Cricetulus griseus: one gene and its partners. The protein of the gene in region 2 interacts with the protein of the main gene of each other region in a pairwise test. Links are inferred from orthologs where the notes say so. Each region holds a gene or a part of one and is shown on either strand. Other genes may lie near its edges.

Region 1 (8,304 bases), on a different chromosome or scaffold from region 2:
CGAACGCCCCGCGCTCTCGCACACTCACAAACACACACAGGTACCTCAATTTAGTAATCAGAGATTTAGTAATTAGGATTGAAAAGTTGACATAATTATAAAAGCAGATAACTGTGTTTTTTTGTTACCTGGTAAACTTTACTGGAATAAAAGTTTGATTTGCATTAATTTTCCGAGTGTTTTGTCACTCAAATATTTAGTTTGGATAATTCAATCATATGTACAAGGTCTACAAATTGGATTGGGTTAGGATACCATTAGCTGACCAGATGATCAGCTCCAGTGGAAAAGAATGAGATGTTAGTTACTCTCTTATTCCTGATAAAATCAAAGGGGAAATGCAAAGAAAGCAAAGAGAATTCTTTATCTGCTTCATCGTGGGTATGTGCATATAGGTTCATTAACCACCTGATGAGGTTCTGGGAACAACTGAACTTGGGTCTTCTGGAAGAGCAGTAAGCACTCAGCCCACTGAGCTATCTGCCTAGCTACCAGTAATGAAAGACTTTATAGCCAAGGAATTTCTGAGGAGGAAGAGCTAAGACATAGGAATACATACCTGCTGGAACTTATATAAATCATTGTACTTTTCATGGAAGTCCAGACTCAAAAGTTCCTTCTGAAGTCCTTCCAGGAAGTCTTGGCTTTGGATGAAGTTTGGGATTACACAATGAAGAAAAGGATCCATGTCCAAGACAATAGCTTCTGTTGGAAGAAAAATATTACCTTTGTCTTTCTTCTCTTCTGTATTATACCAAGTAGCACAACATAATACAAAAGAAGACAATCATGAATTTTGGGAAACCTAATATTTAAAGTTTAAGATTCGGAAGAACCAGGCTGTAGTGACTCATTCCTTTAATCCTAGCGCTTGGGAGGCAGAGGCAGGTGGATCTCTGTGAGTTCAAGGCCAGCCTGTTCTACAGAGCTAGTTCCAGGACATCCAGGGCTACACAAAGAAACTCTGATTTGTTAAAAAAAAAAAAAAAAGATTCGGAGAAGAATTTTAAGTTGTCAATCCTCTAGTCATTCAAGACTACCTTTCTCAGATACTGTGCTTAAATGCTAGTCATTAATGAGTGAAGGAGATATCACTAATGGAAACTCCTGGTTTTTGTTAGTTTGTTTTGTTTTTAGTTTGTTAGCTTACTGATTCTTGCATCAATGCATTTTAGAGTCTTAACTCATCACTTTCTCCAGAGCAAAGTAAAACAAGAATAGCAAATTAAACGAGAATGGCAAAACTGGCTGGCCATTTTCTCTTTAATCCTGACCTTACTTCCCAAGTTTCCTGTGGGGAGGAAGTGACTGCATTAAAAAATAAATAAATAAATAAAGGAGTACTGACAGGCAGTGGTGGCACTTGCCTTTAGTCCCAGCACTGGGGAGGCAGAGGCAGGCAGATCTCTTTGAGTTCCAAGCCAGTCTGGTCTTCAAAGAGAGTTCCAGGACAGTCTCCAAACCTACAGAGAAATTCTGTCTCAAAAAAAACCAAAACCCAAACAAAACAAAACAAAAAAACAAGCAAAAAACAAAAAAAAAGGAATATCAGTTGGTTTCTTATTGATTTCTCTTCCACTAGATTATCAACCTATGACTACAACCAATCCGGCCGGACCTAGTAAGAGCCTGACCCGGGGGTGCTTTACAGGAATTACCTCAATTACGTTCTCAACAACTGAGGAATAGATAATGCTGACTATGCCTATGCAACAGATGAGGAAACTGAGAACTCTCTGTGGAGAGTCCACAGCCTGCACTTTAAACACTAAGTTCTCATTTTCTCTGTGTGTACAGAGTGTCCAGGATTCGCCTTTTAAAAAACACTCAAACGAGACAACAACAACAAAAACAGGGCAAACTTGGGAAGAAAATTCAAGACGCACCCAGCCAGATTCACGCTGTATAAGGTAATAACTTGTAGCTAAGTCTGGAATGATGGTTCCTTTCAAGATACTTTCGTTTCATGTGTCAGGTAGCCCAACAACAACGCACGTGAAAACCGGTTTCTCCAGGTGCTAGTTCTCTGGCAGCTCTCCACATCTGTTCAGGTTAGATGGCCATGCCACACTTGCCAGATTATTTACTGGTTCCCGGGGAAACATTTATGAATGCCTACGAGCATTAGTTTGTCAATCCTACCTTCCCGAAGGGAATAGTATTAATAGTTACGCTTTATAAAAGAAACTGACGCTAAAGCAAAGTTAAATGCATTGCCCAAAATGTACAATCAGCAGACCTCTGGTTCTAGAACTCAACCCTCAGTTTACATGTCTTCTACTTCCCCACACTCACGGACCTATATTTTCCTCCCCAGGCTTGTCAAATCAAGCAGAATTGGGAAAGAACCGAGCAGCAGTAGGGGGCTGTAGTCGGAGTGGCTATGGTCCTTCCCACACCTCTTCTCGCGGCCGCTCCTCCCTCACAGCACCCCATTACCATGGCTGAATGGCGTCCGGCAGCTCCAGGCCTCAGCCACCTGCTTCCTCACTGTTTCTTCCGTGACAGCGTCCGAAAACTCCGCCGCTACCTGCTTTTTTCCCTTCTTCACTGGCCGCGCGGGGCCCGGATCTGCGGGCCGCTTCCCGTTCATCCTCACCAAGCACAGTTCCACGCCAGGGACGTCAGACACACGACTTCCTTCCACAAACTACAGTTCCCAAAATGCCACATTCTTTAGTCCCAGCATCACCCAATGGGAAGGCACCAAAGAATAAGGAGGCTGGATCTATCCATAATTAACCATTGGAAGATGAACATACTGCGCCACCCTGCCAGCGATTGGCGGAATGGTCGCGGTGGGATACCCTCCCACTTCCTGCCGCCAGAGCCTATTCACTTCCGGCGTGCATTAGCCTCCTCTTGCTCTCGACTGTTAATGGCGGGCGGCGGCTGCTGAGCGGGACGCAGATAACCGCTGCCCGCCCTGCGGAAGTCTCCGCAGGCCCCGGCTTTCTGCACGTCTCCTGTATCGGAGCTGTTCAGCATGTCTGTGGTGCCGCCGAACCGCTCGCAGACGGGCTGGCCCCGGGGGGTCAACCAGTTTGGCAACAAGTACATCCAGCAGACCAAGCCCCTAACCCTGGAGCGCACCATTAACCTGTAAGTGCGGCGAGGCCTGGGCGGGCAAAACAGTCACCGGATGCGGGATGTCCCTTCCGGGATGCTCGCTTTCTTCTCCCCCAGACCGCTTTCTCGCCCCGGATTTGGCAGTTTTCCTATTTTGAAGAGAGATTTGTTCTCCCTTTCCTTTATTCAGTCATGGTTTGCTTTGAATTCATTATAATGTGCATGTTCTTTCAACCCATTGTTTTCATTGCACATGTATTTGTTTTTTATTTGAAATGAGTAACTATAATTTTGGTAGGGTGTATATTTCTTTTAGAGTAAGTTTTCCAGATTTACCTCTAATGGCCTAGGTTTTTTTTTTCTTTAAGTGTTGTGTAGTATTCTATCAAGTGACTACATTTTATTCATTTTCGTGCTGTCCTCTACCTCCTGCATTCGTATGTCTTGTCTGCCGAAGTGACACTATCACCGCCTGCACCCAGTAGACCTAGATTGAGAGTACACACTCTGTTGTCTGGTGGTCTTTAACACTGTTGGAGATAGCTTGTTGCCCAGAAAGCCTGTTGTGTCGGCTGTTTTTTTCTTCTTTTCTTTTCTCTTCTTTTCTCTTCTTTTCCTTCCCTTTCCCTCCTTCCCTCCCTCCCTCCCTCCCTTCCTTTTTTTGGACACAAGGTTTCTCTGTATTGCTTTGGAGGTTGTGCAGGAACTACCTCTATAGACCAGGCTGGCCTCCAATTCACGGAGACCCGACTACCTCTGCCTCCCGAGTACTGGCATCAAAGGTGTGCATCACCAACGCCCGGCTGTGGGCTGGTTTTGTTTTCAACACACCTTTAACCAATTTATTGCTTTTCGAGATCTCTCTCAAAATTTTGCTGTAGCAAGAAGTTGGGATTGGGATATAGCTTTATAGCTCACTCAGTATTTGGTATCCTGCTGCCCAATGTGGAGCTGATGCTAATGGAAGAAAGTGGCCAGTTCAGGCTGATTATGTATTTAAAAAGTGCAAGACTTTGCTGATGGTGTTTTGGTAAATCATCATTGTGTTTCTTGCTTTCATGTTCAAGTAAATGAACTTTTCCTTCTAAAACCAAATGTGACATAAAATTGAGAAAATTACTATTACTGTCTGTCAAAACAACTACTGGCCTGGAAACTTAGGTAATAAAATATGAGGTTTGTAAAATCTGGAAGTAGCTGAAAACTATGTCTGTGCAAATTAACTTTTGCAACAAAATACATAGTTGCACTTTAATTTCCTGTTATAAAAATGTTTATAAGATTCCTGTGAGCCTGGTGGTGGTGGCACATGCCTTTGATCCTGCACTTGAGAATCAGAGACCAGTGGATCTCTGAGTTAGAGGCCAGTCTGGTCTACAGATGGAGTACCAGGACAGGCTCCAAAGCTACACCGAGGAATCCTGTCTCTTAAAAAACAAAACAAAACAAAGGTTCCTATGAAATGGAGAAGGCAAGTGTTCTTTTAAAAAATGAATGAGGGGTTTGCTAACTGGTAGTTTGCCTAGTGTATGCAAGACTCCAGGTTCCATCTCCAGCACCTCAAAAAGTAAAAACTGCAAGCACAAGGTCTATATTACTTCAATGATGAGCGAAGGCCATGGGTTTTATATATACTATCCTTGATTCCTAGGTCAGTTGACATCAGGCCACTGTAGAATTATTGAAATAGGTGTGCTTTTAGAGATGTTTTACAGGTGAGCATGTTATTTTTCACTTCCTTTGTAATGCAATGTTGAGAAATAAATTGCTGTGAACTTGAGTCCACCTGGGTGAACTGTATACTAAATGGGATTTAGTATGTAGTAGGTCTTTGTTTCTGTAGTATGTTTTCATTTAGGGAAAACGGAATGGGTGCTTTTGTAACACACAGTGTGTATACACAGGACTAGGTGCTCAGATGGATGAGTAAGATGCACACTGTACTTTAAGATGCCCACAGTATGATGTGGAAAATGTGCTCTATGCGGTCTGATGCTCACATCTCACAGCTGGAAATTCTAATGTTTCATTCTGCTGGGATCTTACGATGTAGGAGATAGCCCTTGCAATAGAAATATATTGTGGCTGGGTGGTAATTCTTTCTAACGCAGGTTGGGAAAACCAAATGTTAACACATTGGAAAGCATTGTGCAGTAAATTGTACTATGTGTAGTAACTTCTTCCTAATAATGATGATATTAGATGGATTATTGGATCTACTGCAAGATTATTTGTAGTTGTTAAAGACCCCTGAAAAATGGGCCTTTAATCCCAGCACTTGGGAGGCAGAGGCAGGCGGATTTCTGCGAGTTCGAGGCCAGCCTGGTCTCCAGAGCGAGTGCCAGGATGGGCTCCAAAGCTACACAGAGAAACCCTGTCTGGAAAAACCAAAAAAAAAAAAAAAAAAAAAAAAAAAAAGACCCCTGAAAATGGTATATTTTCATTGTCTTAGAGCTACTTTGTTTATGCTTAGAATTTGACTTCTGGAATTAGTGGGGTTTTTTTGTTGGTTATCTTGATTTTCCTTCTCAAGAACTGAGAAGGAAACTGTGTATGTAGTTGTCTATTAATGTCAAGAGTTTTGTGTGTGATATATGTGTGCTGTATGTATCCATGCAGATGTATATACTTGTGTATGTGAGGGTTTGTATGTGGAGTGTATGTGTGCACTCGAGTGTGTGTGTGTGTGTGTGTGTGTGTGTCTGTGTCTGTGTGTGTGTGTGTGTGTGTGTGTGAAGCATTTGTGACTGTATGGGTGTGCCTGTGCCACACAGCACTTGTGTGGAAGTCAGGGCAGTGTCAGGTGTCAGTTCTCACCTTCTACCTTGTTTGAGAACAAGATCTCTCACAGAGTTACCATGGGATCTTGTGGAGCTATCATGCTCAATTTGGTTTGTTTGGTGCTGGCTGGATGTTTGTTTATTTTTGTGGGTGCTGGAGATTGAATTTAGGGCCTCATGCTTGCTTAATAAGCACTTTACTGACTGTCTTCTCAGCCCAGTATCAAGGATTTTGTTGTTGTTGTTGTTATTTTTGGTAGATGAGATGCTTTGGAGTTTGCCATGTTCAGCCAAAACATTCTTACTGAAAAAAACCTATAATTTAGGGGCTGCAAGGTAGAATGTGGTGAAATATAAATGTAGATTTTAAACTTTAAGGAAAATTTGGTCTTTACTAATCAAGATGAAGTCTTTAGCACTTTAAGTCATACTTTGGGTTCTAGATAGAGAGAAGAGGCTATTTAGCTTAGATATGGGCGGGAAGAGTAAGCATACTGGATAGGGTAAATGCCAAACTCAGAGGGAAAAAGAAAACAGGTCTAAGCCACTGTGGTGTTTTATGTCCTTAATCCAGCACTTGGGAGGAAAAAGCAGGCTGGTCTCTGTGTTCAAGGCCAGCTTGGTCTAAGTTCCAGAACTACTCTGTTTCAAAAAACAAGCAAGGGGATAGAAAGATGGCTCAGAGGTTGAGAGGTCCAGAGTTCAATTCCCAGCAACCACATGGTGGCTCACAACCATGTGTGGTTGTGAGCAAGATCTGGTGCTGGCTTCTGGCGTGCAGGCATATATGCAGGCAGAACATTGTATACATAATAAATCAGTCTTTTTTTAAAAAAAGAGCAAAATCTGGGTATTGCTGGGAGAGACAGAAAATAGTTGGAGAGGGACTTCTTGAGGTAAGAGTGCTTGCTGCCAAGGCTGATGATGTGAGGTTCAGTCCCCAGAACCCACATGGTGAAAGGAGAGTACAGACTCACACAAGTTATCCTTTGACCTCTGAACATGTCATAGAACATCATATGAAGACATGTACAAAGACTTTTTTTTTTTAATTAAAAGAAAGCAAGAGAGATGTTGATAGACAGTGGTGGCTCAGCATATATGAGAAAAGAGATTAGCTGTAGTGCCATTTAGCTAATAGAAGTTATAACTAGGTTAATCAGAAGAACCAGGCCGGTCATTTGGTATTAGTGTAATGAAATGATTAAAACCAGTATGGATATAAACTTTGATAAACATTTCAGGGACCTTAGGACAATGCAGTCTGTGCTTAATTCATGGAAGTTCTGGCTTCGAGAGTAAGACAGCAACAGTATTCTCATCTTTGCTATCTCATAGCTGGTTGTGAAGTTTTGGGCCAGCCTTTGACAGTGTAGCTTTGACCACTGTTTTTTTTTTTTTATGTTGTTTTGAACTGTCCTGGTAAATAAGATCATCTGTTCTCATGCTAAATGCTTGTCTTTGGTTCACAGGTATCCGCTTACCAATTATACCTTTGGTACAAAAGAGCCCCTCTATGAGAAGGACAGCTCTGTTGCAGCCAGATTTCAGCGCATGCGGGAGGAATTTGATAAAATTGGGATGAGAAGGACTGTAGAAGGGGTTCTGATTGTGCACGAGCACCGGCTACCCCATGTGTTACTGCTACAGCTGGGAACAACTTTCTTCAAATTGTAAGTAGTGTTGGAAATTAACAGCAAGACAACTTGTAATAAATTGACTCTTTAGCTTGGAACACAATTATTTATTTAAACAAATGCTATGAAAGATTCTTGAAAGAAAACAGTCACGTTTTTTCTCCAGTGTAGTGCTTACTTCCTTTCCAAAGTAGAAATCTGCATGTTTTATATATTGTTAATATCCTTGAGCTAGATCAGCCCAAACTCAGTTTCTAGGAGTGATAGAAACATTACTGAATGAGGTTGTTTTTGTGTAGTTTAATCACTTGAGCCCATAACTCTAAATATTTACTTGCTCACTGTTAAGATTGTGCCAAAAAGAAAATCCTCAAAACTGTCTTTGAAAAATGGACTATTCCTCAGACCTAAAGAATGTAGTCTGTTGTCTGGGTATTTGCTAGACTCCATTATATATAACTTTCCTGTGAAGAGGCTGTGGTGGATTGCTGGCCAGTGGTTAGTTTATTATATATATTGGCTTTTCTGGTTAAAACGAGGATTGTATATGATTGTCTGGTACTTAGCATTGTGTGTTCAACTTGACAGCACATCTCCCACCTTCAGTCCTTGACTGCTCATCAGATGGCACTGAAATATGTCTCATTCAGTTACTTGATAGAAGCAATGATTACTGTGTTCTTGCTATATTATCCCCAAATTGTATTAAATTCTTAACCTTTATACAGACCTGGTGGTGAACTTAACCCCGGAGAAGATGAAGTTGAAGGCCTAAAGCGCTTAATGACAGAGGTATTTTTCTGTTTAACCACTCCAAC
Region 2 (7,516 bases):
GTACCATATTTTGAAGATGCTTTCTTTTTACCATTTCATAATTTTAGTTTCTTTGTCAAAAATCAGGTGTTCATAGGTGTGTGAATTAATATCAGGGTCTTCAATTTGATTCCATTGGTCCACCTCTCTGTTTTTATGCCAATACCAAGCTTTTTTAAATTACTGGAGCTCTATAATAGAGCTTGAAGTAAGGGATGATGATGCTTCCAGAAGTTCCTTTATTATACAGGATTGTTTTTGGCTGTCCTTGGTTTTTTGTTTTTCCATATGAAGCCGAGTATTGTTCTTTTAAGGTCTGTGAATAATTGTGTGTTGGGATTCTGATAGGATTGCATTGAATCTGTAGATTGCTTTTTGTAAGATTGCTAATTTTTACTATGTTAATCCTACCTACCCAAGAGCATGGGAGATCTTTCCATTTTCTGATATCTTCTTTAATTTCATTCTTCAAAGATTTAAAGTTCTTGTCATAAAGGTCTTTCACTTGTTTGTTTAGAGTTACCCCAAGGTATTTTATGTTGTTTGTAGCTATAGTGAAGGGTGATGTTTCTCTGATTTCCTTCTCATATAGAAGGGTTACTGATTTCTTTTGAGTTCATCTTGTATTCTGCCACATTCCTGAAGGTGTTTATCAGAGGTAGGAGTTCCCTGGTAGAATTTTTGGGGTCACTTATGTATACTATCATATCATGAGCATATAGTGAAAATTTCACTTCTTGTCTTCTAATTTGTATCTCCTTGATCTCTTTTTGTTGTCTTATTGCTCTAGCTAGAACTTTTGAGTACTAGATCGAATCGATATGGATAGTGGACAGCCTCGTCTTGTTCCTGATTTTAGTGGAATCACTTTGAGTTTCTCTTCATTTAGTTTGATGCTGGCTCTTGGCTTGCTGTGTGTGATTATCTCACAGCTTATTTTAAATATTTAAAATTGTATTTCTTGTATAAACTATAGTTTCTTTTCTTTTCTTTTCCTTTCCTTTCTTTTCTTTTTTTCTTTTCTATGTTTAGTACAGAAGAGTGACTGAGTATTTTCTCCTGTATTCATTATTTGGGTCTTCTATAATGTGTGCTATTTTAATTGTTTAGAGTACACAAATGACAATATGGACTTTCCAGGTATTCTTGACTAAGAAGAAGAGTCACATGTGTGCAAGTAAGTTCAGTTTATGGTAAAACACATCATTTGTTTGGAGTAAAGAGTAGAGATGATCATTAGGAAAAAAATCTGGACGAAGTTCAACCTCACTGGATTTAACACAGTGAATGAATGATTACTCAGAGATTATGAGGTGTGTGGGGAGGCCTTTCCAACATTGAATGAACAGGCACAGAAGTATGAAACAACAGGCTTTATTTGGGGGAATTATAAATAGTTTGATTAGCTGTCATTGTAGGAAAGGTGGCAAGCACTATGGTAGACAGTAAAAGAGGACTCAGAATACTAGGAGCCAGATAAACAGTATTAAGGGCTAAAGAGCGGATGTTTCTCCAGCAGTGAGAGGTCTGCCTTTTTGTATCAGCATGTAATTCACACTTCAGAGATCCTATCAGAAGCAAGAAATTTAGCTGAAATAATCCATATGAGGGTTTGAAGCACAAGTACTTGGGGAAGGAACTAAAACAGTGAGAGACGATCATTATTTCTTTGGTTGCTTAGCTTTTCGAGACTGTTTCTGTGTAACAGCCCTAGCTATCTTGGAACTGGCTCTGTAGACCAGGCTGGCCCTGAACTCACACAGATCCACTTATCTCTTGTCTCCCAAGTGTTGGATTAAAGGTGTGCACCACCACATTTGGGCCTATCACTATTAACCGTTTTTGAAAGGTCATGTAACTTTTGGCTTTGATTCAATATTTTAGAAAGCAAATCTCTAGTATAAGTCTTGTTATACAAGTGAATAATATTCCTAATGGGGAATAAAATATACTTAATAGAGAAAAGTTAACCAGCACGTTTCAGTTTTCATGTCTACCCCACCCCTTTGGATCTTAAAACTGTATTGTTTACATGTATGTGTTTGTGTATTTGCTTGTGTGTGTGCACGCGCCTGTGGAAGCCAGAAGAAGGTATCAGATCCCTAGGAACTCAAGTTGGTTACTAATTGTTATGAGTCACCAAAAGTGGCTCCTGGGAATCACACTCCAGTCCTCCGAAAGAACAGCAAGCACTCTTAAATGCCAAGCCATTTTTCTAGCTCTTACTAAGAATTTTTAAAATGTTGTCAGTTTTTTTATTTTTTGATATTCAAATGACTCATGAATTAAAATGATATTAATTACTGACCGTGCAAGCTAGTAACTCAACCTCCTGGTAACACAAAAGGCAGAGATCTTACAAAGTCTTAGACAAATAGCTTTATTATTTATGGGGGATGTTATCAATCATATGCTTCTTCGATACTTGTACAAAAATTTATTAGAATTAGTAATTTCAGAAAACAAAGCTTCACTATCATACCTAATACATAATTTGAATAATAAAATAGCCTCTTTCACTTTTAAATAGAGAAAATTTATATTCATTAGCATGCTTATTGAAAACAATGAAGTATTTCATTCATTAAAAATGTATCAAGAAAATACATAATAAAGTATAATTTGTAGCATAAATATAAGCTAGTAAATTCATTTCCATTACTTACATTATGATTTGCTTTTATAAAGTCTAATATTTTAAATCATTAATAAATGCAGAAATACAGAATTTATTTACAGGATTCTCAAAAATAATGATTCCACTAAATAGTGACTGTCACAGTTGATCAGTATTTTTTCTGCACTCTGGATCCAGTATCAGGAGAGAACCTGGTCCTTGGCTGGCTGTTCTGTAAGAGAGTTTAGAGGGTTCTCATATTGTCAGATCCACAGATGTTAATAGGTCATTCTCCCTCCAGATTATGACTTTTAAGAAGACTACATAGATCAGTGTCAACAATGCTGTGCCTGCTCTCTGTAATAACTCACAATCTTAATGTGTTGCCTTTGGTAGCGTGCTTCAAAGGGGTGTCTGTTGAGCATGTGCATGGTTGTGGTTGTGCATGGGCAGGTGTACTTGTCTATGTGCACCTGGAGCTCAGAGGTTGAATTCAGCCATTTTTTTCTCCTCCCACTTATTTTATTATTTCTGTTTTTGAGACAGGGTCCCTTCACTGAACCTGAGGATCACCATTTTGGCCGACTTACTGGGCAGCAGAGCCCTGAGATTGACCTGTGTCCACTCCTAAGGGTAGGGCCACAGACTATGCTGTTTTTATGTGGGCTGGGATCTGAACTCATGTCCCTATGCTTGTACAGCAAGCACTTTACTCACAGAGCCACCACTGTCTCCAGATCCTTGACAGCAGCTTTCTAAATCCAGGGGTGCTACACCTTGTAACCTCAGCAAGTGAGAGGTGAGAGGCAGGAGGATCCAGACTTCAAGGCTAACTACATGATGCCCTGTCTCAAAACCCACAAAATATGCAGAGGGACTTACGCCATCTGTTGTGTATATAGTATATGTGTGTATATAATAGTTTTTGTCTTCTTCCTTTTTTATTTTAACAAAAACACTTAGAAGTCATGTAAGACCCTAGGAATGTTTAACATATATTTTAGACCGAAGATAAAGTTGTTTCTTAAAAATTCATTAAATTTATTTTGTTTCAAGTCACATGGTAGTGGTGCATGGCTTTAATCCCAGCTCTAGGGAGGCAGAGGCAGGCCGATCTCTGTGAGTTCAAGGCCAGCCTGGTCTACAGAGTGAGTTTTAGGACAGCTAGGACTACACAGTAACCCTGTCTTGGAAAATGAAAGAAGAAAAATTCACTAAGCCAGCATTTGGACCAAATGTAGCTAGATGGTTACCCATCATTAGTGGGTTAGTTCCCATCATGATAAAACTGTTTTTCACAGCTCACTGAAATCTGTGTCATAGATTTGATCTTCTAGGTCACTAATTGACATTTCTCCATAGATTCTGATGTCCTTTGAAGAAAAAAGTACTTAAAATTTGAATTAAACAATGTCTCATAATACACAAATCAAAGTAAAGATACTTAAAATTTGCAAATTTTGAACTCAATACATTTTTGTCAGGAAGAAAAAGTATCACTGGAAATATTACCAAATTAGGTAATATTAGGTAACAAAAAATTTAGGGAAATCCCAAGCTAGTATGAAACAAGTGCTTGCCAACAAGGATGCTCCAAACCTGTGTGCCTGGGGTGCACTGTGCAAACCCTGCTTCTCAGGGAAGGACTACTGGATGAGAGAGCGGGAACAACCTTCCTCTGTCTTGTCAAGATCCCGGGACTCAGGGCACTCAGCCTTTATCCTCTCCTCTCAAAACCTCACAAGGTTCTCACATTAGAAAAGACTTGTGTGTTTTATTCTGTGTGAATGACTGTTCTGCCTGCACATGCATATGTACACCATGTGTAACTGGGTCCCGTGAGGTCAGAAGAGGGCATCTGATCCCCAGGAACTAGCGTTACTGATGACTGGTCCTTGGCAAAAACAAGTGCTCTTAACTGTTGAACTATCTCTCCAGCCCCCTGCGAATGTCTTTACCTCAGTAATGTCTGCATGAAACAACCAAAGGAGGAACTTAGCAAATACTTACCAGAAGTGGTATTAACTGTAAAGTATTTTTGATGGATGGGTTTTTGTAAATGGCTTCTTGTACATCTGAAAAATCATACCATGATACAAAAATAGTTATGTATATAAAGAGAATCACTAAAGAATTAGCAACAAAATTTCAATGTGTCAAAATATTCAAAATTGAATATGACACTCTTTTCCTACTGACTCCAGAAATAGTCCTTATTTGCAAATAGGTCCAAAAAAGAAAGCAATTTAATTAAGAACAATTATAAAAAGCTGAAGCTGGTAAGGGGGATTTTATAAAACAATCTTCATTCCAATGTCATATTTCCTTTTGTTTTATTCTTTTTAAGTAAAAAAAAAAAATTGGTGGTTGTGGTAGCTCATGCCTTTAATGACAATAGTCAGAATGCAGAGGCACACAGGTCTCTATGAGTTTGAGGCTAATCTGGTCTACATAGTGAGTTCCAGGCCAGATAGCCAGTCTTATGTAACCAGCTTCCCCCACTTCCTGTGCTGGGGCTTGAACTCAGGACCCCTCTCACACTTTTTAAAAATTAATTTTATGTGTACTTGTGTTTTGCCTGCATGTATGTCTGTGTGAGGGTGTTGGATCCCCTGGAACTGAGGTTACACACAGTTGTGAGCTGCCATGTGGGTGCTGGGATTTGAACCCCAGGTTCTCTGGAAGAGCAGCCAGTGATCTTAACCACTGAAGCATCTCTCCAGTCCCCAAGAATTTCTTTTTACTTATTTTGAAATGCGCTTTTCACTCTACATGCTAGTAGTACTCATTAAATTGGAGAGTCGTGATCCCCAACCAGTCTCAGGTCTTACAGCTTCGTCATTTAAGCTCTCGTTTGCTACTTCTCACCTCTTTGTACCTTATTCTGGACAGGCTTTTCTGATTTATATTCTAGTTTATTAATTCTCTCTTCAGATGTCTATAATCTGTTGTTTATAAATAATGAGCTGAATTTTAAATTTATTTACTCATAGGATTTGTAATTTCCAAACAGGCAAAGTCATTTTATATTGTACATTTCCTTACTGGAGTTTGAAACATATTTCTCATTATTTAAAATATATAAACATAGTTATTTTTTAGTTTTTTTTTGTGTCTGGGGTCTATTTAGTATGTATTGTGATATCTTTTGATTTTCTTTGAAAGATATTTAATTATTTTATATATACAAGTATTCTATCTGCATACCAGAAGAGGGCATCAGATCTCATTATGGATGGTTGTGAGCCACCATGTGGTTGCTGGGAATTGAATTCAAGACCTCTGGAAGAGCAGCCAATGCTCTCAACCTCTGAGCCATCTCTCAATCCCTCTTTTGAATTTTTAATGGATTTTTTCTTTATGGATTAGTTTTTGGTGATTATTGACTATTCATTTTCTTTAGATCACATTTGTGATCATTCTTTGAAAACTCGAATATTGGCCACATCGCAATTAGTATCAAAAGGGATATTAATATACGTTTCCTCTATTATTCTGGAGGTGTTAGGAGTTTGAGATCATTTTCAATTACGTCCTGTGCTTCAGGATTTATAGACCATGCTGGTACTATGAGCATGGGCTATAATTAGTATGAGGTGCACACTAGGCTCCATTTCTAGAGCACCAGAGATGTTTTCTCCCTTATGTTGGCTGCTCAATACTGAAGTTGAAGAAAGGTAAAGTTTTGGTTTCTTAAAAACCTCCCCACTTTTTGTGGTTGAAAGGCATGGATTTTTTTGGTGGTTCAACTTAATTGTGGAGTATCTTTTCTGAAACTACCAGGTATTGTTCCCTTCTAATTATTCCACTAATCAAACATCTTTAGCTTGAAAGTTTGCTGTATCTCTATCCTTACTTTCCTAGTTAAAAAATACTTTTAATTTTTTTCCCTTAAAGACAGGATTTTTATCGAGCTGGTCTGGGGCTTGATAGGCCACTCAGGCTGGTCTTTAGCTTCCTTTGCTCCTCTTGTCTTAGCCACTCATGTTCTGATATTACAGGTATTTCTCCATGCCCACACACACTTAGTTTTAAAAATTCTATGTGTATTCAAAGTTGAGAATTAAAAAATACTTGATAAAGTTATTTTTATGATGGTCAGCGTAGATACCTCGTTTGTTTATTGTTAAAACACAAGTAGTATGTTCATATTTTTCTTCTTCTTCTTTTTTTTTAAAGACAGGATTTCTCTATGTAGCCCTGGCTGTCCTGGAACTTGCTTTGTAGACCCGGCTGGCCTCAACCACAGAGATCTGCCTGCCTCTGCCTCCCAAGTGTTGGAATTAAAGGTTTGTACCACCATGCCCAGCTTATGTTCAGATACTTCTAAAACAGAATAAAGTATAGAAGTTGGTAGCACTATAAAAGACATGGTGTATCTGCAATTATCTAAAGTATTAATAATATTCTCAATTTTTAGATGATTTATTAAGGTGATAACTAGATATATTTTGTGTTTTTACTTCAAAGTTTTAAATTAAATAAGGATTTGACATAAGCTTATGAACAGCATGTTCCTGTCTTACAGAAGGTGTGCCCCCAAACTTACAGTATAACCTTTGATTGAGGTGACGGAGGGACTTCAGGACCTTCTGTTCTTCAGCTGACACTGCACAGGTGTTGGCTGGATGGGTCTTACTCAAGGACAGATTTGGTTTCTGTAGTGGCTTGCTGTTTATGGCAGTCAGAATTTCATCCTCAGGCACCAAACGCTCAGAAGTACTACCTGAAACTACAGAAACTGATATTGACTCTCTGATCACTTTGTCTTTGGGATTGACTTACTGAAATTATGTCTGTATATATACTCAGGCCACAAACAGAAGTCAGCAAATATTCTGTTACTGTGTATTTTGTTTGTTTGATTGATTTTTGTTGTTATTTTTGGTTTTGAGACAGGGTTTCACTGTGTAACAGCTT
Region 3 (7,807 bases), on a different chromosome or scaffold from region 2:
GGATTTGGAAATGTAGTCTTACAGAGATTGAAGATAAGTGTTTTCACTGAGGCAAGGTAACCTCTTAGTATCATCCTACATGGCCACTCCCTTGAGGAATGGTGACTAGGCAACAAGAATGGACACAGGTTTCTCCCCTAGCAGTAACCCATGTTAGCTGAATGTGGTAATTGAGCCTTCCCTGAAAGGAAGCTTTCAGACAGCTTGAGGACTTGGTAATCTTCAAAGGGAAATAAGTAAATTGTACTTGGAGTTTAGAAAACTGTTAAAGCCATAGCAAGTTATTAGTATTATTTTATTTTTAAAAATACATACTGTAAAAATAAATAAATACTTACTGTAAGTCAGGAGGCAGCAGTGGTGCATCTAACCCTGAGCTGCACACCTACCTCAAAGGCTGTTCTTATAATAACCTAATTGTCTGGATTGTAGAAAATGCTCACTAAAGGAGTACTAATTGAGGTAGAAAATTAAGTTTCCCTTGACCCAATTTGGCCAGATATGGCTCTAGAGTTGGAATTTATCTTTATGACTGGCTTTATTATTTGATGATGTTATATCACACTGTTCATCTGCAAAGTTCCCTTATGTACTGTGTAAATAGAAATCTCCAGAGATTGAGGATGAAACTGTCATATTATGGGATTGTATTTCCCTTGCTGACGAAATTTCAGCCCTGAAGTAGGCAATGGGAGTTGATCAGCTACCTTTTTATTCCATGCAGCCGAGTGAAGTACAGAATAGGGCTGGGGACAGTTTGCATTGAAGACACTTGAAGGTGTCTCAGGCTTGTTGAGTTGTTCTGTTCTACAATGGAAATGTTGGGCACAGCCTGGCTTAACCAACTCTAGCCAACACTGCTTCTGTTCCTTTCACCTGGCAGCCCACAGGCAGGACTGTATGGTAAAATGGAAAGCCTTGCATTGTTTAATAAGATGAAAGTTCCTGCAGCCTTTTTAAAAATGTAGCTTTCTTTTATGTCTTTAGTGGCTTTTTATTTGTGTATAATTTCAGACATGCAGAGGAAAAAAAAAACCGATAAGACTAGTACAAAGAGCTTTTGTAGCCCAGTGGTGGTGGTGCACACCTTTAATCCCAACACTCAGAAGGCATAGGCAGGCAGATAAGTGTCAGAGCTCAATGCCAGCCTGGTCTACAAAGCAAGTTTCAGGACAGCCAGAACTGTTAAACAGAGAAACCTTGTCTGGGAAAAAAATAAACAACAAAAAAATTAAAAAGAACTTTTGTATACCTTTTACCCAGACTGTCAGCATTTTATCTTATTTGCTTTCTTCACATGGATGTATACTACATACATTCTTCTGAAGTGCTGAGAGTAATTGCAGACAGCATGCCATTTACTTCTGAATGTCAGTGTGTATTGCCTAAGAACAAATTCAGCATCATAATTCTGTTACCTAGCCCACTGTCCATCTTCAGATCTGTCCATATTCTGAAATGGTCCCAGTAATGGCAGAGCTTTGTTGTGAAAAACAGTCTTGAGGTGCAGAGGTGTCTCCTCAGTTATGTTGGCTTAAAGCCAAAAGACATTATTCAGTCACCAATTCCTTCTGTCTCTACAGGACCAGAGTGAGGGCAGCAAGAGCTACTCAGCAACAATGTCTTCAGAAGTGGAGACCTCGGAAGGGGTAGATGAGTCAGAGAAAAAGAACTCTGTGGCCCCAGAGAAGGAAAATCATACCAAGTGAGTGATAGCAACTGGCTGCTTCTCATTGGGAGGGTCCAGCACCTGTTTTGCCATCTGCCCGCATGCCAGTTCAGTCTGTCGGTGGCACTTGGGAATGCCACAGCCCTGAGCTGTGTAGAGCCTGGGATGTTTGGTTGGCACTGCAGGGCACTACTGTCCAGCCTGGGCTGTTCCACTCTCTGGTTTTCTGTGTTCTGTTACCCAAGGAAACAGGCCAGGCCAGATAGGAGTGCTGAGTCAGGGTTTCATAATAGTCATCTTTCTCTTCTTCTTCTTCTTCTTCTTTTTTTTTTTTTTTGGTTTTTCGAGACAGGGTTTCTCTGTGGCTTTGGAGGCTGCCCTGGAACTAGCTCTTGTAGACCAGGGTGGTCTCAAACTCACAGAGATATGCCTGCTTCTGCCTCCTATGTGCTGGGATTAAAGGTGTGTGCCACCAATGCCCGGCATCTTTCTTTTCTTAAAAACCAAGTAATACCAGGCATGGTGGTGTGCACCCCTGATCACAGGCTAGCCTGGTCTACAGAGCAAGCCAGTACATCCAGGGCTACATAGACAAACCCTATCTTGACAGTCAAGGAAAAAAAAAAAACCTAAGTGGTTTTTCACCTGGGCTAATGAGGAATAATGAGAGGAAAAGCTGGTTCCTTTTCCTTTTACAAGGTCATCTCCCTACCAAATGTGGAATCTGAACTCTGTTCTAGGTCAGGGCTTTACTTGCTAATCTCTCTAGGGCTCAGAATACTGGCCCTGATCTGCGTTTTTCCTAGCCTTTCACTAAAGTCCTGTAGTTGGCTAGGTTATTTTTTTTTTTTAGAAGAACAGTGATTTTTTTTAAGGTTTTATTTATTATGTATACAACATTCTGCTTCCATGTATATCTGCACACCAGATGAGGGCACCAGATCTCATAATGGATGGTTGTGAGCCACCATGTGGTTCCTGGGAATTGAACTCAGAACCTCTGGAAGAGCAGCTAGTGCTTTTAACCTCTGAGCCATTTCCCTAGCCCCAACAGGCAGATCTCTTGAGTTTGAGTTCTACAGAGTTCCAGAATAGCCAGGGCTACACAGAGAAACCATGTCTTGGAAAAACCAAAAAAGAGGAGAAGGAGAGAAGAAGAAAAGAATACAAAGCCAAGATCTTGGTTCTTGTCTCTCCACTGTCTCATCTTTTCACATCTGGGCCCATCCACATAATATCCTGAGGAATTGGTCCCTCATTGGGAGGAAGGCAGCTTTCTGGGCTGAATTAAGTCTTGTTTCTTCAGCCACTAGGTGGCCACAGAAGCCAAAACATCATGCATTTGGGTGCTCTCTCTCTCTTTCTCTCCTGTCTCCAACCCCTCTCTCCATAGTAATAATCTTCATGCCCCCTGAGTTTTTGTGGCAGATTATCACATTTGCCTACCTTGTGCTGACAGCGCTCACCTGTTCATGCTGGACTGGTGTCTCTGCAGTTCCAGCTTCCAGTTTGTATCTGGGGTCTAAACTGTCTTTTTCCCTTTAATCGTTTTTGGAGAACTGGAAAGGGCTACTGTCTCACACACAACTCATTTCCACAGAATGGCAGACCTCTCTGAGCTCCTAAAGGAAGGGACCAAGGAAGCACACGACCGGGCAGAAAATACCCAGTTTGTCAAAGACTTCTTGAAAGGAAACATTAAGAAGGAGCTATTTAAGGTTTGTGCCCTCAGTCAGATGGGGTTGGAATCTAAACTTTAATAAGGGATGGGAGATGGGGTGGCCTTAGTTGGCTGGGAAGTTGCCCTACAACCACTCTAAAGTAGAAGCTGCTGGGTATTTTTCTTGGAGGTGGTCCAGATGGGCTCTAACCCTGGGTCCTCCAGCCTCAGCTTTCTGAATATGGGGGATGAAAAGTATGTGCCTCCACGACCAGACATAAATTTTTATTTCCTGGTGTTAATCATGGCTGCCCTAGCCTAAATGAATTAACAAAAATATGTTTGTAAATATTCAGTCTTTTCTTTAAGAAGCTACAGAAGCTTCCTAGTTGTGTTAAGTAGTACACTATATAAAAAAAGGCATCAGAGGGTCTTTGGAACTGGACAAAGTGGCTTTTGTCTTGAGCTACTCTTAAAACATAGTGAATTAAAAAAAAAAAAAAAGAAAAAATCTGGGTAGTGGTGGCAGCACACACCTTCAATCCCAACACTGGGGAGGCAGAGGCAGACAGATCTTTCCTTGGTCTAGGACAGCAAGGACTACACAGAAAAAGCCTGTCTTTGAAAAACAAAACATGGTGGGTTCTAGAGCTGCTGGCTCAGTTTATAATCTTCTCCCACAATCTTCCATTGCCCTCACAGCTTGCCACTACCGCACTTTATTTCACATACTCAGCCCTTGAGGAGGAAATGGACCGAAACAAAGACCACCCAGCCTTTGCCCCCTTGTATTTTCCCATGGAGCTACACCGGAAGGAAGCACTGATCAAGGACATGGAGTATTTCTTTGGTGAAGACTGGGAGGAGCAGGTGAAGTGCTCCGAGGCTGCCCAGAAATATGTGGATCGGATCCACTATGTAGGGCAGAATGAACCAGAGCTGCTGGTGGCCCATGCTTATACTCGTTACATGGGGGACCTTTCAGGAGGCCAGGTGCTGAAGAAGGTGGCCCAGAGGGCACTGAAACTCCCCAGCACCGGGGAAGGGACCCAGTTCTACCTGTTTGAGCATGTGGACAATGCCCAGCAATTCAAGCAGTTCTACAGAGCCAGAATGAATGCCCTGGACATGAATTTGAAGACCAAAGAGAGGATTGTGGAGGAGGCCAACAAAGCCTTTGAATATAATATGCAGGTACTGGGTACAGACCCTGGATGCATGAACTTGATCTTTTAGCAGTAGAATCAAAGCCAGAGCTTTCTTGAGAGGCTATTTGTAGCATGACAAATGAGCTCCTATATACCCTAGAGAAAGATGAGGGAACCAGTTAGCCATCAGAGAGCATGGGGCCAGTGTGTAGCTCCCAGATGGAGGCCTGGTTTGAGGCCCATGCCTATTACTGGAAAGGGCAAAGCTCTAGCATTTGAGAGGTCTGAAAATAGAACTATCCCCCTCTTTCTCGCTACAGGTTTCTAGGATTGATAAATGGGTAATTTCCTCATTTAGTAGCAAAGAAAGGAAAAATATTTAGTATGGAGCCAGATTTAATTGGAAAGTAGAGTACATTTTATAAGTCTTAGGTAGGTAGGGCTGATCATGCAGAAGCCATTTCTGATTCCAGAACCCCATGTCAGCCCTCAGTGTCAGAACAGCAGCAGTCAATTGAACTCCCACTAAGACTTGGTTTGATGTTCAGCTGGTCCTGATCAGGTGTATCTAGGCTGTAGCTTCTCTATGGGTGGTGAGTAGGTTGCAAATTCTGAGTCTGCCTAGTTCGTGGATAGCTCAGTTGATTTCTGCTCCTCAGATATTCAGTGAACTGGACCAGGCTGGCTCCATGCTGGCAAGAGAAAACCAGGAGGACGGGTTCCCCATGCACGATGGGAAGGGGGATGTACGTAAATGCCCCTTTTATGCTGCTCAGCCAGACAAAGGTAGGTTGTGGGTCCTGAGCTAACATTCTGGAGTGGGTGTGTCATTGCCCTCCACTGATGCCATGTCTCCTGTTGTGCTGCATGCAGGTACACTGGAAGGCAGCAACTGCCCCTTCCGGACAGCCATGGCTATGCTGAGGAAGCCTAGCCTCCAGCTCGTTCTAGCTGTCAGTGTGGCCCTGGCTGCTGGACTCTTGGCCTGGTACTACATGTGAAGGACCTGTCCTGTCATTTGCATCCTACCTACCCCAAGTGACCTATTCCATCCCTATCTCCACCTCTAACTAAACAACCACCTCAGGTGACTTTTTTAATGCTGGGTTCGAGAAAACAAGCAACCAATAAAAGCCAGACACTAGAGCCTCTGCGTAACAGCATCTTCTCTGCCAGCCAGGTACACACCAGGCACAGGCTGCACTACTAGTCAGACTTGGACTTCTGATCTGGCAGTGCTCCACGATTTTTGCCATTTTGGAGGCCTGGGTGCATTCTCTTCTTTAATAGTGCTTGGAGTAGTGCCTTGCTTGGGAGTGGGCAGTCCACACACCCAGGCTTTGTGGTAAAGAGTCATGCCAACTGATGTTCACTTTCTAGGCCTCAGGGAGCTTTTGGGGGTGGAAACTATGCTTTTCTGTCTCCAAGCCCAGAGTTTATCCTGTTCAACTGGGATTTCCCTAAGAAGCCTGTTAGCCTGGGCTGTCTTCACTGACCTATATACATGTTACAGCACTTCGGACACCTCATACTTCCTCCTCCCTGGGATAGGGTAGGTGAGACTACCTCCTGGTCCCCAGAAGTCTACAAGGAAGTAGAGATCCTCAGAAATAGTGGCATGTTGCATACATCCTCTTTTGATGACAGCCCTCCCCTGCTTCCCAACACTCCTAGCCAATTCCTAATACCTTATTTTTCCATGTATTCATGCTAAGCATTATAAAGATCCTTAATGTCTACTTGAACCTGTGGTTTTTCTTAGAAATACTTTGAGGTAAACAATTCATGGTCTAAAATAGAAATGTGGGTTAAATATTTTTATTAGTAGGAATCTATTCCTGTAAAATTCTGTGAAAAAAAAAAAAAGGTAAAACAGAAGGGAAACTCTTGAAAGGTGAGCCCACGATTTTCACAGTTGAGATGGTTGGATTTAACCAAGGCCAACCTGGTTCAGAACCTGAGTGCCCGGCTTCATCTTCAGACTATATATAAGATCTCAGTCCAGTAGTGCTATCTTGTTTAAGGGCAGAATAATACTGCCTTCGGGTTAGGAGGTCACTAAGTTGGGAAAGGGCTCCAGTTCTCAGGCTCTGCAGCCTGGACACCTAATTATGTAAATGGTGGAAACCAATGCTGAAACCAAAACCTCCCTGGCCCAGAACAGCTAGGTCCCCCTAGAGTAAGTCTATATATATAAATTCTGGTTTGGTGTAATTGGGTTCTTAAACATGTGTTGTTTCCCAGGCCCAATCTCTTGCTTGCCAGTATACTACCTGTAGACCCACCCTGTCCCTCAGAAAAGAAGGAAGCCAGGCAAGACAGCAGAGGAGGCCCAGGGCAGGGAAGTGAAAGGGCCAATTTAATGAAACTACAAACTGGGACCAGGCCACAGTTCACAGTGATAGGAGGCCATGCAGTGGTAGTGTGAGACCAGGAGAGGGACAGCAGCAGGACACAGTGTCCACGTGGGCATATTCACAGACCATTCAGGAAATAGTTTGGGTTTACACCCTGGCTGGGCAAGACTCATGTGCTTAGGATACCCCCACTACTTGTGACTTCTTCCTGGTCCTCAGCCTAGTGTCACAGTTCTCCCTACTGAAGTGCCCCAATATGGAAGCAAGTCAACTATGGCAAAAAGACTGGCACTTATTCCAGAGACTCATGAACCTACAAGGAGGCTGTTATGATCTGCCACTCTCAGTAAGCTACCAGGTAAAAGTTATACCCATATATAGCACAGACACAAAAGTAGACAGACAGGACAGGGTCATGGGCATTCATTCCTTCTGGCCCCAGAAAATATAGGGGTTCACGGAGATGTGGCCAGAAAGGAGATCTGCACATTGACTCAAAGGAAGCTAGATGAGAAAGGGGGCAAGTTCTTCTTGACTACCAGGGCCTTTAACTAGCCCAGTGTCCTCTTTGCCTTATACCAGGCAACTCTTGGATACCTCCTGGACAGTGGGTAGAAGTCCTGGATTTCTATACCTGAGAGTTCTGAGGCCCAAGTTGGCAGTCATCATTCTTACTCCACCTTTGGCACCCCAGATAAGACAATATACTCCACATAAACCCAGGCCTTAAGACCCAGTCTTGCTTGGGTTCACTTAACTCTAGATGATTCCGACCTCATTCCAGCAGGTCAGATACAACTGTGGTTCCAGGCACAACCCTCACCATAGGCCCTAGTCTGGGAACCTATTCATGCTTTGGGTGCTTTTGGTCCCAGGAATAAGGACCAAACCTGAACCCTTATAAAGAAAGGACCCCAGTAAGAGACCCTCTCCAGCTCATCTTCTGGATTGCAAATGCCCAAACATCACACAA
Region 4 (8,266 bases), on a different chromosome or scaffold from region 2:
TGTCACTCTGATACCTTAAGCATGTTTTAGCACACCGGAAACAACATTACTTCCAAATTTGCTGCCTCAATTTCTTAATATTCTGTGCATTTTAAAGAGGGATCTAAGAAACCAGTAGATTATTTTCGCAGTCCCTTAGGTGTTCCTGCTAGTTTCTTACTAGGGCAGCATCTCTCAGCATAGCTAAATACTGGCCAAACAGCAACTGAAGCTGTCAGTATGGGACAATTACTTGGGTGCCTCTCAAGTCAGGCATTTCATATTAACTCCAGGTGGGGAAAAGTGATGAAAAATCCTTTCCTGATATCTAAGTCAAGGAACAAAAATCTGAATATGATCCTGCCTATGCTATATTACACTTTTCATGTTGAAGTAATATAAGTCAATGGGCTCAGTGTTTTATTCCAATGTAAATAACAAGGCTACAGTTCAGAAATAGTCTGTTTTGAGAAAACATGGCCAACTACTCACTACCTAGAAAACTAAGCAGTTCTTTATAGTTCAATATGAAATGTATTTTTTCTATTTTTCATAGAATTGAAGGTCTATAACCAATATGTAAATAAGGTCAATTTTAACACTTGGCTTTTAATTATTTAATCAATGATATAAATATTGTGTCAGTTTCTAAGGTCTCTTGATTTCAATGTATTGCTATTTACACAACTACTTTAAGCTATTTCTGGCAACTCTGGTTTGGTTGCTGGTGATGAGATCCTAAACCACCTGATACTGACAGAAGCAGAAAGTAGCATTAGATTTTTTTCCCCTTGATCTTGGGTTTTGCTAGTCTAAAAATGACTAGATTTTGATTAGAAACTTGAAAATGACAATGAGGATTTCTGAGCATATCTAAAGCTAAAAAATTACCAATAACAAAGACAAAGGCTTATATTCCATTTACTAATGTTAGCACAGAGCCCCTTATACTTCCACAAGGGGTAACTACATGTTAAATATTCAACCAATGGTTACCTTTTTTAGAAACACAATGCTCTAAGGAAAATTTGTGAGCACTACTTGCACTCCAAAAGGGGAGATAATTTTAGAGTTGTCTCAGGTGCTGTAATACGTCTACTGACACTCCCAGCTGTTTCACTAAACTAGCTGTCTGTTCCAGAATCCAAGTGAGGCTTGGCTTTTCTAAATGTTCATGCTCTTGTGTTCTGCAACATTCTGAATGTGAACAATCTGTCCGGATATGACTCTTGTCAGAGTTTTTGTTAAATTCAGCACTATTTTCACAGAGTCTTTCATCTTTAACTTCATCAATCTTTTTCTCAGCTGGAACTACATGACAAAGGTCCATATCCTCAATGGAGTCCAATAAATCTGTAACTTGGGGCTGTGGAGCGACTGACTTCAGACGTTTGAGCACACACTCTTCACACTGGCCAACTGCGTCCAGAAGATTATTGATTTTACTGACCAAAGTTGAACTATTACCATGAAGGTGACACCAGGAGAGCAAAGCACTGAATGAAAATATGAACAAGAGTTAAATAGGAAAAAAATTACATAGTCACAGGCATTTAGAATGCTAGGCCCTACACGTTGTCCTTCTACAAAACATCAGGCAGAAACAGATTAGTGATAATAATAATACATGTCCAAATTAGGAAAATAACAATGTAAATAACACTAAAGAATAAAGCATCTTTTAATACAAGCTACAAGAAGACTTAATTATATTAACTGCTTATAAATCATACCTCCTCCTTCATAGCTCTGTACCAATTTTTTTTCTTTTTTTTTTCCCCCAAGACAGAGTTTTTCTGTGTAGTTTTGGAGCCTTTCCAGGCACTCACTCTGTAGACCAGACTGACCTCGAACCAGAGATCCATCTGCCTCTGCCTTCCAAATGCTGGGATTAAAGTTGAGCACCACCATTGCCTGGCCCATTTTTTTTTTTTTTTCTATTTTCCTTGACTATGTAACTTCTATGCAATAAAATATAATTTACCTAAAGACCAGAAAAACCAGTCCCTCCTTTTTGTTCCTTTTAAGGCAGAAAACCTAGGCTTGCTAAACTATTAGAAGGACAAAACACTATCGGGAAGAGTATTTTAAAGACTTCATCCTGGGCTACTCATTGTCACAAAGTGTTGTCAATGGAATGTTTTCTTCTTTCTTGGCAGTACTCAATATTTAACTGAGACATCAGGCCTGTGAGGCAGCCCCAGGTTCTCCTTTAAGGACATTAAACAACTTCTAAACTGATCATTCTTAATCTTTGTCACAAATTAGAATCACTAACAGAGCTTTAATTTTCTCCAAAAGTGTTAAGAATTCTACTTCAAATACACTTAATTATATTTGTTACTTTTCTAGTAGACGACCCTTCCTCCCGGATTGTTTATACAATTTAAGAAAACAATGGATCTCTCTTTCTTTGGTGAGGATTGAGCCCAGGGCTGTGTGCATGCTGAGCGTACACTCTACCTCTGAGCTGCCCCCTCCCGGAAAATACTATACAAGTGAAATTGACTGCTGTGAAAGACGAAGCAGTATGCTTTCTAAGTCATAAACATGAAGTGGAGATGACCCCTTGGTCCCTTTCCTGGTGTAGTAAATTATATATTCTAGTTAATTTTCTAAAGGTCTCAACATAATTTAAAACAAACGATTCTTTTCTGTTTTAAAATTTGTGATTCTTTGTAGCAGTTTGTTTCTCTATAAAGGACAGTTGAAGCATTACCCACATCAAAGAGGCCCACTCCATTCTTAGTCACCATGTGTCATCTGAGCGTTTGACTACTCTCTAATATTATTGCTATGGCATTCTGACAGGCATTCAAAGTTCAGGGCTGAAACACATAGGACCTCTTTCCATTAGTAGTTGCAGCTTTCCCAATGGACTTCTAGCCTACAGGCCTGCCATACTACATGTGGGAGTACAAAGAGCCTTATTTGGAAGCTCATCAGTGATTAGTGCTAGTCCAAATGGCAAAAAAAAAAAAAAAAAAAAAAAAGACACCTTCCTACCATTTCTTTGCAAAAACAGGAAAAGCATCAGACACACACATATTAAAATGGATGAACTGACAACGATTTTATATGCTCTGAAGACTCATGTATTCAACATTAGGAAAAGCTTTTATTTTTACATATTACCTCCATTAAAAAAAATCCATTAGAGTTGTGGTTAAAAGGATTCATTACTTAAATTTTTAAAATTACCTCAATGTTCCTCTGAGTAATCCATAGTTTATAATGACTTCTGCACCTTCTTTATAACCTTGATTGAAGCCCTGTTGGAGAGTAACTGCTTTGCCAGCATCTATTCCATCTCTGTAACCTTCCTAAAAATCAGAAATTAGTTGTAACTGACTCCAAGTAAATCTTTTCCAGAAAAGCACAGGACCCCTTTTGAAAATAGATTTAGCAGGTTTTTACTATGTTAACTGAACATGATATGGCAGAGACTTAAATCCAAAGCAGAATGTTTCTTCTAAAACCCTCTTCCTGGCTTGTACTTCCTTATCACATGTTTTATTTTCTTAAACCTTGTTTCCAGCCTGGCCTGGAACTCATAATCCTACTGCCTCATTCTCCTAAGTGATGACAGGCCTGTGCTTCGATGCCACATCCTGAACTCACTTTGGAAATATAGGGTTACTGAATAAACATTGGACAACAGTTGTTATGTAATTTTTAATACCTGTTAGCAAGTTCTTCACAGAAATGGAAACCTACATGTCTGGTCTTGGTAATGGACTACAACAGGGTAGTTAATGAGGCTGGCAAGGCCGGGGAAGAGGAAACTATTTTTAGGAACAGATGAGAGGAAGTCTGATTTTAGAAATCTAATTCGAATGTGGCATAGAGATTTTTGTCCTCTTATAATTGGTCTAGCCCCAAATTCCTAAGGCATTTTTATAATGGCATAATGGTTGTTGGACTCAACAAATACTATTAAATTAGGGTAGATCGAAACTGCAGTTTTAAAAAGGCAATTAAATGGCTGATAAATATATTGGGTGACATGGTTTTACCTTTTACTTTAAAAATATTTATGTAACATATATTTACTTGGGGGGGGGTGTTTCATGCTCCAACTTGAATGTGAAGGTCAGAAGGAACCTATTTTGTCCCTCCAAGATGTGGGTTCCAGGGGTGGAACTGAGATCATTATACTCTGGAATCCACCTCTATTTGGACACAGATCTTATCAGTTGTCACCCAAAACTAAGCTGACCCTACCCTCGTATTATTAAACAAGTTTCAATGAATGGTGAGACGGATCCGGAATGAATGACACATTTCAAGGAAAAAGTGAAACAATATCCCCTTCTCTACCTTCCCGTCCTTTGACAATAGTTTTAAATTCACCTTTACAGAGTTTTAGTAACACCACACCCAACTTTGGACTCTCCACCCACTGAACAACATCTGTGAATGTGCGTTTTCTGCCAGCCGTTAGTCTAGTCGGTGTATATTTCTCCCCTTCGGCTCTTTTCCTCCCCAAACTGCAAACTCTTGAGGGACTGGATCAAGTTCACTTTAGTCGGTCAGTCCCCTGATCCAAATCCAGCCGGGGATCTCAAAGAACGAGCCTGTTTAAAGGTTACCAAGTAACCAACCTGGAAATCCTAAGACTGGGGCGGCCGTGGGGGTCACCGCAGCCGTCCCCCTCCGTCCAGGCTTGCCCCCGCGAGCCCCAAGCCCCGCGTGGGAGACCCATTCCCGCGCGTCCCGGTCCCTGGCCATTTACTTGGATTCGTCTCCTCATGTGTCCCTGCCATTCCCGCTGCACTAACAGAGTCTCGTCCGCTTCCTCGTCAAACACGTCCTGATCCCCAGAGCTGGGAATCTCGGGAACCGCTCGGACCCAAGACATCTCCGAGGAAGCCTTGGGTCCCGGACCACCGGAAGTGCCGGCAAGTGCTTCCGGCCAGGGGGCGGGGCGAAAGGGTAGGTGAAGGATGAAGGGGCGTGTGCGTCTGCTACAGCCCTGCGACTAGGGGCTGGGTGGGGCTGTCCTCCCACGCTTCTGGGTCCGGAGGCGGGGTGGGTGCTGGGAGCTAAGTCCCGCCATTCAAGGGCTGAGACTCAGTTTCTGCGAGTGCTGAAGGCGCTGGCCAGCAGCGTGCAGCCGAAGACATTGGACTATGAAAGGTGATTCTGCGGTCAGTTTGAGATGAAGTAAAACCAGCATCCATTGGCAGTTTCCCTCCCAGCCTTCCGCTCCGGCTCGGCTCTGAGAGTTCAGGAGTGTGGCTCAAGCATTAGCCGCTTCTAGCCGGAGTACGTGTTAAAGAACTGGACGCCAGCGTTCCTGTTTTGTCCTTTGTGTGAGAAAAATGAGTCATGTCATTGAATTTTTCTGAAAAGTTTTCTGGAGTACCTAGTTTACATCGTTTTAGGCCTTTGAGGGACAGCGCTCCATAGGAATAAAAGTTCTCGCCCTGAGTTCTCAGACCCTGTGGACTTCCTATTAGTGTAGAAATGGCAGTTGACTAAGAATAATATATAAATAACCCAAAATTTAAAATGTAAATGCACTACTGTGGGAGAAGAGAAGATAGGTTACGATTTTTGTGCTGGGGATTGAGCCCCAAACCTTGTAAATGTGGAAGGAGTGTTGTGTCAGTAAGCTATTCCCCTGCAGCCCAAAGTTACTATTGTACATTTTCAGAGTTTGTATCCCGTAAATCTATATATAAAACCAAATATAAAATGTGTTAAGGTGTATGCATATATAGGTATTAATTAGAAAAAATGGTAGTGATTGAAATGAATAAAATAGAAAACTGGAAACTAATGCTTGTGAGTTGGTTCAGTAAACACTTGCCATCAAGCCTGAGGAACTGCGATCAATCACCATGATGGAAGGAGAAAACCAACTTCTGAAAGCTATTTTAAAACCAAACATTCTAATACAATGCAGTCTGAAGATATACTGATTGATACTTTTATAGAAATACAACACTGAGAAATGGTGGTAGGGAATATTAAAGGTTGTTGTATTTCTATAAAAGTTTTCTACAGTATGTATAGTAGAAACACTTCAGTATCTAGTATGCAATAGTCTTGGCTCTGATCCTAGGTGTTGGAGGCAGTGTTTAGTGGCACTGTGTAGCTTGATGGCAAGTGCATTACACAGTGTGCTTGCCGTGTGTTCAGGTCAAGGCTGCAGTGAAGCTGAACAATACAGCATAAGTCAAATGCTGCCAGAAACACCTTTGACTCCTTTTGGTTTTGAATTTTGGATTGTTTTCTGTTCAGAGACCTCTCACTGTTGCCCAAGTTTTCATGACTCTCATCTTCAATTATATGACCTCCTGATTCAAGAAGGTGTGTGTGTGTGTGTGTGTGTGTGTGTGTGTGTGTGTGTGTGTGTGTGTGTGTGTGAATGCACATGCATCTATGCAGCATATCTGTATGCAGTGTGTATGCAGGTATATGTGTACATATGTGTGCAAGGGTGTGGATGCTGGGGGTTAATATCTGATGGCTTCCTTACTCATTCTCCACCTTATCTTTTAAGACATGGTTTCTCACTGAACTAGACAATCGTGAATGGGGTAGGCTGTCTGGCCAGTGAACACCAGGGATCTGTCCCACTGCCACTAGAGCTACCACACCAATGCCAAATATGTGAAATAGCAATTCAGAGTCAGGTCTAAATATAAGGGTATTTATTTAGGAGGATCCTACTCATCACAACAGCCTAGCCAGCCAGCAGGGAGCAAGGTAAGTAGAAGAAGGGGCCCCATGTGCTTGCTTGCCTGTCCCTCACTCTTAAGCTTTCCTCCCATCACCCTGACCATGCCCAAAAGGGTGTGGCCAGGCACACCTGTAACCAGCCCCAAGCAGGTGTGGTTACAGTGTCCCCTACACCACACCTTTTTATGTGGTTGCTATGGAGGTGAACTCGGCCTCAAGCTTATGCAGCAGGCACTTTATCAACTGACCCATCTCCCCAGCTCCTGTAGTATTTTAAAGGTTCCATGTGTATTCTGGACATAAGACCTAAGTCAGATGCATGTATGCAGATGTAGTCTTTGCTCTAATTATATCCACTGAGAGGCAGAGTTAGGAACACAATGCATGTGAAAGAGACCAAGGAGAGCAAGTATATGCAGGCAAAGTAAGCTTTCAGAAAGTGATGCTGATCAACTTCTGTGACAAGGGAGGCAGAACCAGCGTCCTGGGCTGGCGTGTGTATTTCATGATGTCTTAGCTAATGTATGAAGAGCTCTACAACAAAGAACAAGGGAAGTCATACATTTGGGTCACACGGACATGTCATGCTCCCTTGTCAGCTTAGTTATGCCTGGAGAATGTCCTGGAACCGTGTGGCCTTGGCTAGGAAACCACAGCATATCCCATAAATACTCACACCTTCAATAGCCAGATGATCTTTCAATGTCCTCTCATGTGTATTATTCTATTTTCCAAAATTGCATCCCCACTCTTTAAAAGAAGAAAAAAAACCTCATAAATAACTATGACACCCTTGCATAAATTTTGATGTCATGATGTGAACTTACTCTGGAGGATTTAAGAACTGTATCTTGCAACTCAGTATGTCTCATATAAACATACTCTAATAGGGTCAGCCTTTAAGATTCACCACATTTTTCTCCCCAGTCGCCTGCTTGTCATTCATCTTTGTCTTTACTTTCAAAGGCTCCAACAATTCTTCTTTATGTCTTTCTATTTCTCATCTCCTGCTGACTTCCATTTTTTATCTTGGTTTTCCACACTCTATTTGTGCTCTTGCAAGGTGCTCTTTGGTAGTTGACATAATAAACTCCAAGAGGGCACAAACCTTTCTTAGAGTCTCCCCAGTATCTGGCATGGACACTTAATCATTCAGCCTTGGTAACTAGGCAGCAGAAGATTTCTTTAAACCAAGGAAATTTGGTTTCTTGCTTGTTTCTCCTGAACTTTGGCAAATACTGTCTTTAGTGTTCAGCAATAGATTCCCGGGTACCACACTGAATTGCTTTTATCAAGGTGTCACTAAGGTTATGTAATATGTATTAGAAAAATTGATATGAGTGGCAAAAATAGGTGGGAGATCATTAGAAATGCAGCAGAAATGGAGCGAGGGCTTGATGGTAAGGCTAATATGGGGACTATAGGCAGTTGCCTCCTTTAATTTTGTCTCTAGAAAACTCAAGCAAGCAGGAAAAGTACTTTAAAATCCAGTACAAAGTGCTTGTTGACTACCGAAAAGGACGAAGGAGGAATGCCAGACAGGAAGCCTAATTTATCTTTCTAATGGCCTATTGATGGGCAGTATATAGAAGCATGC

What was found.
Region 1: the proteins of Cep126 (region 2) and Nudt21 interact in a two-hybrid assay, tested with the Homo sapiens proteins (2 studies listed by BioGRID and IntAct). The link is inferred for Cricetulus griseus from reciprocal best matches to the Homo sapiens genes CEP126 and NUDT21.
Region 3: the proteins of Cep126 (region 2) and Hmox2 interact in a two-hybrid assay, tested with the Homo sapiens proteins (2 studies listed by BioGRID and IntAct). The link is inferred for Cricetulus griseus from reciprocal best matches to the Homo sapiens genes CEP126 and HMOX2.
Region 4: the proteins of Cep126 (region 2) and Yae1 interact in a two-hybrid assay, tested with the Homo sapiens proteins (2 studies listed by BioGRID and IntAct). The link is inferred for Cricetulus griseus from reciprocal best matches to the Homo sapiens genes CEP126 and YAE1.

Annotation. Positions count from the first base shown.
Region 1 is NC_048596.1:170,225,977-170,234,280, reverse strand, and holds the start of Nudt21 (cleavage and polyadenylation specificity factor subunit 5), read left to right. Parts: upstream 1-2,849; 5' UTR 2,850-2,986; coding exon 2,987-3,102; intron 3,103-7,321; coding exon 7,322-7,522; intron 7,523-8,214; coding exon 8,215-8,278; intron 8,279-8,304. Other genes in the region: prolyl 3-hydroxylase OGFOD1, read right to left, coding at 560-705, 2,440-2,593. UniProt on the Homo sapiens protein: Component of the cleavage factor Im (CFIm) complex that functions as an activator of the pre-mRNA 3'-end cleavage and polyadenylation processing required for the maturation of pre-mRNA into functional mRNAs.
Region 2 is NC_048597.1:122,459,090-122,466,605, forward strand, and holds the end of Cep126 (centrosomal protein of 126 kDa), read right to left. Parts: intron 7,329-7,516; coding exon 7,146-7,328; intron 4,672-7,145; coding exon 4,607-4,671; intron 2,829-4,606; coding exon 2,766-2,828; 3' UTR 2,344-2,765; downstream 1-2,343. UniProt on the Homo sapiens protein: Participates in cytokinesis. Necessary for microtubules and mitotic spindle organization. Involved in primary cilium formation.
Region 3 is NC_048600.1:41,905,582-41,913,388, reverse strand, and holds the end of Hmox2 (heme oxygenase 2), read left to right. Parts: intron 1-1,583; 5' UTR 1,584-1,619; coding exon 1,620-1,705; intron 1,706-3,269; coding exon 3,270-3,387; intron 3,388-4,031; coding exon 4,032-4,523; intron 4,524-5,136; coding exon 5,137-5,263; intron 5,264-5,350; coding exon 5,351-5,478; 3' UTR 5,479-5,623; downstream 5,624-7,807.
Region 4 is NC_048596.1:240,632,643-240,640,908, forward strand, and holds the start of Yae1 (protein YAE1 homolog), read right to left. Parts: upstream 4,893-8,266; 5' UTR 4,841-4,892; coding exon 4,715-4,840; intron 3,303-4,714; coding exon 3,181-3,302; intron 1,476-3,180; coding exon 1,046-1,475; 3' UTR 1-1,045. UniProt on the Homo sapiens protein: The complex LTO1:YAE1 functions as a target specific adapter that probably recruits apo-ABCE1 to the cytosolic iron-sulfur protein assembly (CIA) complex machinery. May be required for biogenesis of the large ribosomal subunit and initiation of translation.